3 linked regions of the Nothobranchius furzeri genome follow. The protein of the gene in region 3 binds, or shares a complex with, the protein of the main gene of each other region. Links are inferred from orthologs where the notes say so. Each region holds a gene or a part of one and is shown on either strand. Other genes may lie near its edges.

The links.
Region 1: nup58 (region 3) and nup62l share a complex: the UniProt entries of both Homo sapiens proteins name them as parts of the p62 complex. The link is inferred for Nothobranchius furzeri from reciprocal best matches to the Homo sapiens genes NUP58 and NUP62.
Region 2: nup58 (region 3) and nup93 share a complex: the UniProt entries of both Homo sapiens proteins name them as parts of the p62 complex. The link is inferred for Nothobranchius furzeri from reciprocal best matches to the Homo sapiens genes NUP58 and NUP93.

Annotation. Positions count from the first base shown.
Region 1 is NC_091754.1:20,876,503-20,880,550, forward strand, and holds nup62l (nucleoporin 62 like), read right to left. Parts: upstream 2,700-4,048; 5' UTR 2,509-2,699; coding exon 1,066-2,508; intron 986-1,065; coding exon 827-985; 3' UTR 648-826; downstream 1-647. Other genes in the region: pdk1 (pyruvate dehydrogenase (acetyl-transferring) kinase isozyme 1, mitochondrial), read left to right, coding at 3,498-3,606. UniProt on the Homo sapiens protein: Essential component of the nuclear pore complex. The N-terminal is probably involved in nucleocytoplasmic transport.
Region 2 is NC_091744.1:86,664,950-86,669,323, forward strand, and holds the start of nup93 (nuclear pore complex protein Nup93), read left to right. Parts: upstream 1-1,515; 5' UTR 1,516-1,670; intron 1,671-2,727; 5' UTR 2,728-2,731; coding exon 2,732-2,910; intron 2,911-3,084; coding exon 3,085-3,202; intron 3,203-4,374. UniProt on the Homo sapiens protein: Plays a role in the nuclear pore complex (NPC) assembly and/or maintenance. May anchor nucleoporins, but not NUP153 and TPR, to the NPC. During renal development, regulates podocyte migration and proliferation through SMAD4 signaling.
Region 3 is NC_091747.1:56,994,434-56,998,086, reverse strand, and holds part of nup58 (nucleoporin p58/p45), read right to left. Parts: intron 2,787-3,653; coding exon 2,704-2,786; intron 2,569-2,703; coding exon 2,367-2,568; intron 1-2,366. UniProt on the Homo sapiens protein: Component of the nuclear pore complex, a complex required for the trafficking across the nuclear membrane.

The sequences.
Region 1 (4,048 bases), on a different chromosome or scaffold from region 3:
ATTACCAGCCTATGATGGAACAATCAATCTCGATGCTTTGGGTGGGAAGCAGCGGATGACAATGAAGCTCTTATTTTTAGCAGATTCTGCAAATTAGGACAAACTGTAGTCCATTTTTATATTTGTGACATGGCTGTTTAATTTCCTGGGAATTTTTTACTGTAGAAATGGTGAATTGTATTTTTTAACATTGTATTAGAATGAAAATCTCAAAGTGTTTTGCAACATACCTGTGAGGTTGGCCAACATGTTCTACTACCTTATCTGGAGCTGTTAAGAAAACCAATGCTTCTGCTTGTCAGTGCGCCCCAGGGCAGCTGTGGCTACATCGTAGCTCATCACCATCAGTGTGTGAATGGATGAATGATACACTGTAGTGTAAAGTGCTTTGGAGTCCTTACTCTGAGAGGTGCTATACAAGTGCGGGTCATTTATCATTTCTTGCACCCGCCTCCTTGTGTTTTTACATCTAATCTAGGGCTCAGGTAGAATTAAGCAGCTTGTAGATCATTACTGAGACAAATTACAGTTAAAGCTCTAAAATGATTAAGTAATTTAGATTATTTCAACTCAAAAAGTCTGGTAGATCTTTCATGTTTCAGATTAGATGTGAGAATTAGAGTCATGACACACCACATCAGGCTGAATGAGATCCACTGCAATTGTTTTATTTAATCACACTACCCAGAACATTTAATATGATCAATTAACTTTATAAAGAACTATTGAGAAAATATTTATCTTAATAAAACCAAAACAGAAAGTGAAATGAGTAAATCCAAACAAAAGAGCATAATGTTTATGCAGAGTTAAACTCATCAACAGATCAGTCAAAGGTTAAACGAAAGCTCTTCTCCTGCTCCTTGCGTTGGGTGTCGCAGAGTTTAGACACTTCTTCCACTCTTCTCTGCAGGAGAACCGAGTTCTGGTCGATCCACTGCAGCGAATCCATGTGGGCGTTGAGAATTTTACAAATCTGCTGGAGCTAAAACAGAGAGAAAGAGATGAATGAAAAAGGCAAACATCATAATGACAGGTTTAAGGATGACTTAGATCTGATCTTACTGGGTCACTGGAGTCAGCTGGGCCGCTGGATGTGTTCAGGTGCTCAATTATCTCCTTCAGGTCCTGAGACATCCTCTTCAGCTGTGCGTCTACGTTCTCAGCGAGCTTGTATGTTCTCTCACGCTCCTCATCGGCATTCTGCATGTAGATGGTTCCGCTCTGCTCCTTCACGGACTCCTCCAGCGGACACAGCAGGTCCTCCAGCTCCTTCTGCTGGGACAGGATGAAGTCCAGCTCCTGGTTCAGCCTCCTCTGGTCCAGCTTCACCTTCTCCAGCTCCTTGTGCAGGGATGTGATCTTCTCTCCGTTCTCCACCAGCATGCGGTCCCAGGCATTCACCTGAGTCGCTTGCTGTAAGAAATGTCTTTCTTGGTCCTCCAGCTCAAGACTCCACTTGTTTATGAGGCTCTCCAGCTGGGCATAGGTCATCACAGGAGGAGCAGTGGTGGTGGTGGTGCCGATTGTTGTGGCTGTTGTGGTTGTGCTTGTGGTGGATGTAGTTTTGAGTCCCAGTATGAAGCCCGTAGCTGTGCCTGTGGTGGCGGCTGCAGTTAGGATGGAGGCCGGAGCAGAGGTGGTGGTTGCTGAACTCAGAGGTTTGAGTGGGAAGGATAAGCCCCCTCCAGCTGCTGTGGTGGTTGCAGTGCTCACCGATGAAAGTGGAGCCGAAATTGGAGCTGCACCAAACATGAATCCTGGAGCTGCTGCTGTAGTGGCGGCGGTGGTGGTTATGGGTGTCGCAAACAGAGTAGGGCCTGGAGTCGGAGCCACCTGGGTGGTTGCTGTAGGGGCTGGGGTTGATGAAGGTTTAATCCCAAAGTTAAAACCTCCACCCTGGGTGGTTGGAGCTGCAGAGGCGGTGGTTGCAGGGGTTCCAAAGCTGAATCCCGCTCCTGTGGCAGCAGTGGGGGCTGCAGCTGAGGTCACCTGGACTTTGGGAGCACCAAAACTGAACCCTCCAATGGACATGCCACTTGCTGCTGTCGTGGCTGTGGGTGCTACCACTGACTGAGGCTGGACTTGTGTGGGAGCACCGAAGGTGAATCCTCCCCCGCTTGGTGCCACTGTTGCTACTGCTGGTGCAGCAGCTGGGGGCTGCGAGGTTAGCAGGCTGCCTAAGGTGAACCCTGACCCGGCAGCCGGAGTTGCTGCAGAGCCCAGACTCAACCCTGTTGCTGCCGGTGTTGTCTGAGGGGTAGCAAGAGCAAACGAGGCAGTAGGCGTGCTAAAAGACAACCCCGTGCCGCCTGCGGAACTCTTGGCTGGGGTGCCAAAGCTGAAAGAGGCGGTGGGGTTGGTCTGGTTGGCATTTCCAAAGGCGAACCCCCCTCCCGGAGCTGCTGAGCTGGTTAATGTAAAACCCGCGTTGGGGGCAGCGGCAGTGGTCTTCTGCGCTCCAAAGGCGAACCCTGCATTCTGTCCGAAGTTGAATCCGCCACTCATTATCCTCACAAGAAGTTAAACACAGCCGTTACGTGTCGTTTAAAACGGCCACTTCCTTGCCGAATCTTGTGGCTTTTGGCGGGTCGCTATGACCAACTCCTCCGACTGAAGTTCCTAAAATCCCCACTGCGTCTATTTAAGTAACTTTGCACAGATACGCAGGAAATGAATGAAATCACACGCTAATCAACGTTACCTTCCGAGGAATATAGAGCCAAAATCAATAACACATTGCTAAAAACGTGGGCCTGTGAACCGACATTTCCTTTAACAGGCAATTATCTGGCCACCTAAAGGAAGTGACGACACCCGAGACGCGGCATTCTCGTATGCCCTGAATTTTGTCTGCAGGGACATAATTCCGCCTATTAATTTATTTGGCAACTGTTTTATCCAATCAGAGTTATGATTAGATTTGAGGTACATGATAGGCTCATTTGACTGCCTGATAGACAAACATTCGGAAAAATATATAGTTTGGCCTTTACAAAGAGTATGCAAAGGCAAGATAGTTACAGAATAACGAGCACTATCAACTCTTCTTCTTTCATACACACGTGAATAAAAGACATTATTTAGGACATTATCGTGCATTTATACGTCTTTATTTTCGCAATTTACCGTCAATATTGACAATAATTTTAAATACAGCCTTTCAACAGAACTTCGTGTCGGTATACGCCAGGCAACAACGATGAATCCTCTTGAACTTTGTAGTAACTCTTTGAATTAGCTTGTTGACTTTTCTGCTTCGGTGGATTTAGCAGCGATCACTTGAAGTACACACCGGACGATACACAAACATTGCAGCGCGGCCGTAGTTATGGATGCTGAACCTGCATCAATTAGCAACGTAACTGAACAATAATAAATTTAACAGCGTGTTTGCGAGCTGCTGGGTTTGCTCAACGAGCTAGTGTCGTTAAATAACACTAAGTGTGGCTCGGAAGCCACCTGCTTCCTCCGAATAACTAGTAAACCCGGTCAACATGAGGCTTCTGAGGTTTCTGAGGAACAGCGTGTCAGTAGGGAAGGATATCGATTATTACTCCAGATTTTCTCCTTCCCCTCTTTCAATGAAGCAGTTTCTGGATTTTGGTGAGATGTATTCATATAACACTCTAGGGATGTAAAAATAATTCAATGCACTGAAATATCACAACATTTCGGTTTATGATACAGAATCGATATTTAAAAGCAGAGTATCTATTATTGAGAATTTACATGCCAACATTTCTTGTATTTCTTTTGTGTGGTGCAGATCAAACACTGACAGCTAGGTGGCAGCAGTTTCTTCCTCCTTCAGTCTGACAGACCGATATCTTGCGAAAACACTGGAATTGTCTGAGTTTTCCCAGTTAAATTCACTTAAAAATTGCAAAAATAGTCAGCCTTTTAGTATCTCAATATATCGTATCGTCTCTCCTGTATAGCAACATATTATATTGCTAGATACTTGCCAATTAACACCCAGTTTTATCTCAAACTCTTCGGTGTTTCTTGATGTCTTGGTCCTGCCCCGGTTGCCTAGGAGATACGT
Region 2 (4,374 bases), on a different chromosome or scaffold from region 3:
ACACCGTGAATAAAAATACCTCAACCAGGAATTAAAGTAAAGCAGAAGTCAAAACATTTTAGATTGGCATTCAGATGTGAATTTTATATATTTATCTTCATTTAAATTGTAATTATTCTGTAAGACATTTTTCCAGGATGCTGTCTCATTTTCAGAATCTTGAATTTTTATCATTTTTGTTGTATATTTATATATTTATAGCGTATTTTTCTTATAAACTACATACCTGGAGAGAAAAAACATGGATATAGATCATCAGTAATTATTTAGAAATTGTAAATCCAGCTTTAGGAGTAACTAATGTCAAATTCAGGTAGATGGTTTAACAGAATGTATTTATTGAGTATTAGAACTATTTAAAAAGATTATTATGAAAAAGTTATTTTTCTAAGTCCAGTTTTTGGATCACAACAAAATTAGATGATTTTACAATATTACACTTTATGAATCAGCTCTTTGACAACTATGATGTAAAAAAGGAATATCAAAAAGTAACACGTGTTAAACAGTGGTTCACAAGAACTTGAGCTTTAATAAAAAGGATGATTTAGAACAATGCGTGCCAGAAAAGATCACAACGTTGTCGCAAGATGTCAGATAAAAAAGAGCTTTCCATTCTCTGGTGGTGTTTATGTTTTTAAAATAGCATCAATATGTGAAGGCATCAATAACTTACTATATACTAGTATAAATACAAGCTCATTCATTAATTTCTATACCTTTTATTGTTTTTAAAGGAGGACATGTTGAGTTTATATGGACATTTAAAAGAAAAACTTCTGTGGCACGTTCTTTCACTCTTGTTTCAAATAATGTCAGATTTTTCATTTCTAAATAATTTTGTGCCACTTGAATTATTTCACTGACAGAAACGTATGCAGCTCATGGAACAAGAACAAAATAAGTTTGTGTGAAGATTTTTGTTTTATCACAAAACGTCACACAGTTGTGCAGCTATGTCCATGTGCCCATAAACTGTGTTACATAATGAAGTAGCTCTGGGGCTTGTGCCCCAGATGACCAGATCATTGCACAGTTGAGTCTGGAAGCAGGAGTTCAGCACCCATCTGCTCTTTGTGATTCACGCTTCAGTGTTTTTGTTTAGAGCCGACAAAAAAACAAACAGAAAATATCATTCCATTGGCTGCATTGTATTAGGTCATTTAAAATATATATGTTTATTAAAAGTATCAATTAAGACAAGTGGCAGGGATAAATGAAAAATGAAAAGATTTGTTTCATTTATTTCACGTGTACGGTGTTAGGGTTGTGATGTGTCCCAAGTATTTTACTCTCGATGCTTCTAATCATTTTTAATATAAGTTCTATTTAAAGCAATGCAGGGATACAAATATACGTACAAAGAACAAATATGTACACTGTTAAATATGTTATGTTAGTCGGAAAACAAAAAATGACACACATGAAAATAATAGGTATCTTTTGCTTTTGACTAGGATTCCCCAAGTACCCTGAAGGAGGCATGTGACGACAGACGCATGCGCACCGTTATACAGTCTGAATTGACCAATCACCGACGACTTCAGAAATACCGGGGTATACTTTCTGCGGACTACGCTTGCCTGTGAACGAAACTATCTAAAAAGCACATTTATTCACTTACATGAGGCGAACAGGCTGAACTGTAATTTCATCCAACTTTAAAACAGGTATAATAATCGTCTCCATTCAACTGTAGAGAAATTTAACATCAATTTAAATGAAGTCGAAACATGTGCGAGCGTTAGCATCTTAGCCAGCTCGCTAACCGTTTAGCGTCGCCGGTTGATTGTAACTAGGCTATGTTGTAGCATGCTACCACGGTTTTGGAATGTCTGGTACGAGTTTTCACATTTCTTAAGCAGTTTCAATGTCTGAACTTATCTATCGAACGGTATTCTGTTGACGTCCGTAAAGATTGATCTCTCAACTCGTCAAGCACATCATGCGCGCGCTGCAACTGTTCAGCTGTAATCTTTCTCATGTTTACCTTTCAAGCCTTTTCCCCCATGACGCATTTTTACGTTGGTAGATAAATAGTACAGTTTGTTATAACTCCAGGCAGCATAAAGAATTATAGGTTAGACCATCCAATTTTTAAAAGTAGTGTTTTATATCTTCAGTTATGCTGTATCTCAATGTAAACACAGGGTAAACTTGTTTTTATTTAATTAATCAAAAAGCTGCAAGGCAAGGAGGAGCTTTTATCCATGCATCATAAAAGTTATAACGTGACTGTAGAAGTGCACACTTGTCTAAAGTGAACATTGACTTCTTTGGGCTCTGAGCTGACGCATCTAAGATGAATCATAAACTGTAAAACATAGAGTATGTTTTTGGGTTCAGTTGTTTTTTAACTAAGGAGTTTGAAATGATTGTGATTGTAGTTGTTTACTATTTGATTACGGAGCATCATGTTCCCTTCAAGACAGTTGCACTCTGTCATTACTGACAGAGATACTGGCAAGCTATCCTGTCATGTAATCTGTTGTCTTTAATTACCTCTAACACAAAGTCTGTACAGTGTCAAACATTGTAAAATCACAACGTATTTTTGTTTATATTCCACATACTATTTTAAAGTTAAGCAAATTATGAAAATATTATATATTTTTTAGTGGAATATTTTATTGCACAAACCCAGACCCGCAAAACACTTACCATAGAGAACTGTTCAGTGTTTTCATTTCAAGTAAATCACATTTATAAACTTCTCTACCTGTTAAGAGTCATGGATGCAGAAGGGTTTGGAGAGCTTTTGCAGCAGGCAGAACAATTGGCTGCAGAAACAGAAGCTGTGTCTGAACTGCCACATGTGGAAAGGAACCTTCAGGAGATCCAGCAGGCTGGGGAAAGGCTTCGATCCCGCACCTTAACTCGCACCTCTCAAGATGCTGCAGATGTGAAAGCGTAAGCAACCTTTTTGGTTATTAAACCCTTTTCTTCCCCAGGTTATTAATCTCAGGCATGATGTTCAATTGATAGATTACTTTGCCTGCCAGCCTAGCCTGCCATCTAGTGGTGTCAATGTAAAATTACTTCTCTGCCAGTTGAAACCTCTCCAATCTTTTGTTCTTGTAACAGGTCCATCCTCCTTGGTACCAGAGGTTTAGACGTCTTCCACATTTCACAGAGACTGGAAACTCTAAGTGCTGCCACCACCTTTGAGCCCCTGGAACCAGTCAAGGACACTGACATACAGGTATGAATGAAACGAGAAGCCTTGGGTCCTGACACCTGCTAGCAAGTCTCTAATGCTTCAGATGCCTTACTAGTGCAAGCCTCATGTAAGATGAATAAGATAAACTTTTAATGCTCTAATGGTTGCGTGTGCCAAGCCTTTTTAAACATCCCCAACAGGACTTAAGGCTGCCAAATGTTTTCTAACTGATTGCTTATATTATTCCCTTGACATCAGTGGAATATGATTCTGTGCTGTGACACAGTGAGGCTTTCAGGAAGGTTGATGTTATAGGGCTCATAACAAACACTGTAAAACTAGATAATTGTGATTAATTCAGTCTCTTATCAGAGATAAGTGAAAAGAAAAACACTTAAAATTCTGAGCTCAGTGTTGGAAATAATCCCCTTGGATTTTAGCTTGGCAAGCCATCATCTATCTATCTATCTATCTATCTATCTATCTATCTATCCATCTATTCATCTATCTATCTATCTATCTATCTATCTATCTATCTATCTATCTATCTATCTATCTATCTATCTATCTATCTATCTATCTATCTATCTATATCTATCTATCTATCTATCTATCTATCTATCTATCTATCTATCTATCTATCTATCTATCTATCTATCTATCTATCTATCTATCTATCTATCTATCTATCTATTATCTATCTATCTATCTATCTATCTATCTATCTATCTATCTATCTATCTATCTATCTATCTATCTCTATCTATCTATCTATCTATCTATCTATCTATCTATCTATCTATCTATCTATCTATCTATCTATCTATCTATCTATTATCTATCTATCTATCTATCTATCTATCTATCTATCTATCTATCTATCTATCTATCATCTATCATCTATCATCTATCATCTATCTATCTATCTATCTATCTATCTATCTATCTATCTATCTATCTATCTATCTATCTATCTATCTATCTATCTATCTATCTATCTATTATCCATCATCTATTATCTATCTATTATCCATCATCTATTATCTATCTATTATCCATCATCTATTATCTATCTATTATCTATCTATCTATCTATCTATCTATCTATCTATCTATCTATCTATCTGTCTATCTGTCTATCTGTCTGTCTGTCTGTCTGTCTGTCTGTCTGTCTGTCTGTCTGTCTGTCTGTCTGTCTGTCTGTCTGTCAGGGC
Region 3 (3,653 bases):
TGGATCAGGTGTGTTGGAGCAGAGAAACCACAGAAACATGCTGGACAGGGGACGCCGAGGACCTGACTTGGAGATCTCTGATCTACGGTCCGTTTTGCCACCTCCGCCCTCCCCAAACTGCTTACACACCTTCAGTCTCCTCAGCTTTAGTTTTGGCTGTCTTTTCCATTTTCCCTCCCCACCACTAGTCTATCATTTATAGTTTGTTTTTCCATAATCCCAGATCGCCAAGAGTCACCTACCACTTTTATTGGTATCCGAGTTTATTGTAATGCAGTTGTTTCATTTAATGTTTTACTGTAATTCTGTTGTTTATTGTGTGTTTTTGTCTGTGAAAAATGCTATATAAATAAACATTTTCCTGTATGTATGCTTTAACTAATAATGGGTAGAAATATTACCCCATTGGATCCAAAAATATATCTTTGGTGCTTTTTATAGATACAAAGATAAAAGCATCCGATTTGAGTGTCAGTGAAAAGCTGCAGGTGATAAACCGCCAAAAAAACAGATTTAGAATTTTATTTCTTTTTGCCAAGTGGTCTAATACATAAACACCGGTTCCTTCCTCAAGTTTACGAACCGTTTTCAAGCCTGTAGGATTCACAGAGTAAAACAGAACTAATGCCTTTCATGTGGTCTGGTACAAGGACTGAAGCATTAGGGTTTAAAAAGGAGCTACAGGTAACTGAAAACATAACTTCAGCTATTTGTTCACAACTTTCTACAAACACACTGATCACTCCGCTTTACTGAGGCTAGCAACAAGTGATCAGGCCTTTCAGTTCAGGTTTATAATCTCAGATCTGAGCCTTTTTCATTTTGTCTGAAGACATGCAACATGTCCAACAAGGATACTCCCAACTATTGATGAGGAGAATAAGTATCAGCATTTTTATCAGTAAGGGTATTTCTAAGTGGGCTACTGACAACTTGCACCAGATGTTGCATCAAGCCAAATATTGATTTGATGCAAAGGAATTGGAACATTTACGTTTACAACTGTTGAGTCAAAAAATAAAGCGAAATGGCACAGGGAATAAGTATTGAATACCCTTCATGTAGTACTTTGTAGAAAAGCCTTTGCTGGCGATTACAGCTTCTAGACGCCTCTCGATGGATCTCAGACCAGTCGCCTGCATTGCTCAAGAGTGATTCAGCTATATAAATATATATAAAATATATATTTTACAATAAATAGCTAAATAAATAATGTAAGGTGTGATTTAGCTTTGTTTTAAGAGTTAAAATGTAGCAGTAAAGATAACACTTAATGAGAGAAATGCAATTTTATGATATTTAATCCCATCCTTTAACTATTTCTAGGGTTAACTTGTAAAAACAACCTACTGGAGAACGGGCACAAGCTCACGACTGTACAAGAAAATATGAAGACGTTGATTTGGCTTAAAAAAAAAAGGAATGCATCAACAAATTTAAAGTAGGCACTTTTAACACATGAAGTGATCTCAACTTCGGTTTTTACGAGACTTGTTTGTGATGAAGTAAAAAGAAAGTTTCCACATTTCCTGCTTTACAAGCAAGAGAAATTCGATGTATGAAAGCAATTTTCATTAAAAAAAATAATGAAATTCCCTTAACAAGCAGATTAAGCAGCAGACTTCCCCGTCTTTACGGTCCTGTTTAAATATCGCTTTAAACATTTGGACTAAGCTCTACCTTTAACGGCATCGTGCTCATGTACATCGTAGCTTTGTTCGTTCATGTGCCCTGATAATTAACCAAAACTTAAAAAAAAATGAAATAAAATAAAATCTACAATTTTAAACACCTCCGAGCTTTTATTTTAAAACATTCTTTAAAATTATTTGCCTGTTCCAACAATTTTAACAACGGTAACACTTTAACGAGGCATCGGAGATATTTTCCCAGCTCAAGTTGTTCCAAGTATTTACAACGACGACTTCAAGCAAAAGTTCTCTAAACCTTGAACAACCCATGTGCTTTGAAACAACAGCGGCTTTGTTCTACTTTTGAATCTCACGTATTTTGGCCTCGACAGAAGAAAGTTACATTCTGATGAATCGAACGCTGTTTAACACCAACTCCTCGCCCAGTTGTACAAAAACCTACAGATTGGCACAATATTTAGACTGATCACTCTGGGAGTATGTTTGATAACTACGTCTAAATCACCGCAAAAGCCCCAAACCCATTTTGACAACATTCAAACGGAAGGTATACACAACTTTGCGTCAAAAACGTTTTGACCAACTGTTCTGAATCCTCCTCTCTGGCCCCTTTTCAACGTTTTACCACCAAAATGTCAGATTTAATACGTCTCTTCCCAATCATAAATAGGGTGAGGAAGAGGAGAACTTTCTAGAACTTGAAGGCAGTCAGACCTGGAGTTGGCTGCTGTTGCTGGGTCAACGTGGCTGCCATAGCAACAGCTGCAGCGTTGGGTACGCTGGAGAAGGGGGCGGGCCCGGTTGTGACTCGCGGCGAACTCTGCCATTTCCTGTTAGACGCCCGTTTGGATTCAAAGATGTCCGTGGAGTCTTCCAGGAAGGCTCTTCGGTAGGAAAGGTACTGGTGCTTCAAAATCTATCAGACAACAGATCAGAGGGGAACATAGAGGACAGGAGAAAGACATAACGATGAAACTGTTTCGTAAAATGTAGAAATCTTGAGCTTCTTATACAAATGACAAAACTACAACAATCTTTATTAAATACGGACCTTAACGTTCTCATGGACAGACTGAAGCTGGGCAGCCTGTGCAACAAATGTTTGGTACAACTTCTGCATGGCCATCGTCAGATCTAGAAATAGAGAAAAAAGAGCATTTTCCAGATTTCCCCGAGTTTGTAATAAGGATGCTCCGATCCAATCACATAAATTTTAAAGGATCAGAATCGGGTGAAAAAGATCAGATTTAACTTCATAAAACAACAAATAAGACGAGATTTACAAACGGAATAACAATGGCTTAGTTTTAATTGGGGCAGCAGTAGCTCAGGTGGTAGAGCGGGTTGCCTCATGATTGGAGGGTCATGGGATCGATTCCAGCTCCCGCCAGGGGTATCCTGCTGTTGTGTCCTTGGGCAAGACACTTCACCCAACTTGCCTGTGTTAGTGGTGGTCAGAGGGGCCGACGGCGCCAAATGGCAGCCTCGCCTCTGTCAGACCTCCCCAGGGCGGCTGTGGCTACAAGTAGCTTACCATCACTAGCAGTGTGTGAATGTGAGAGTGTGTGAAAGCGTCTTTGGGGGTCTAGAAAAGCGCTATATAAGTTCAATGCATTATTATTATTATTATTATTAATCTCAACAAGTTCCTCTACATCAGTAGTCTGTTTTTTTGGAAGAAAACAAAACCATTACGTCACCATTTACGGCAGACGGAGGATCAGACGCCATAACATGCTAGTAGCTAGTAAGCTAACACAGAGCTAATGCGTCTCCACAGGAAAGCTAAATATTTTGGTGGTATTTTAAACTGGACAGCGAAGGCGATGTAATGTGTGCATACTGGACATTCCACATGCGGGAAAAGACGAGCTTCAAAACAAACTACGTTCTCATTCGGCTTTTATCCCTTCAGGTGTCGCCACAGCGAATCGTCGGTCTGCTCAAGTCTCAGTTCGCAGCGGCATCTCTAACAAAAACACGGAGCCAGCCAACATTGAA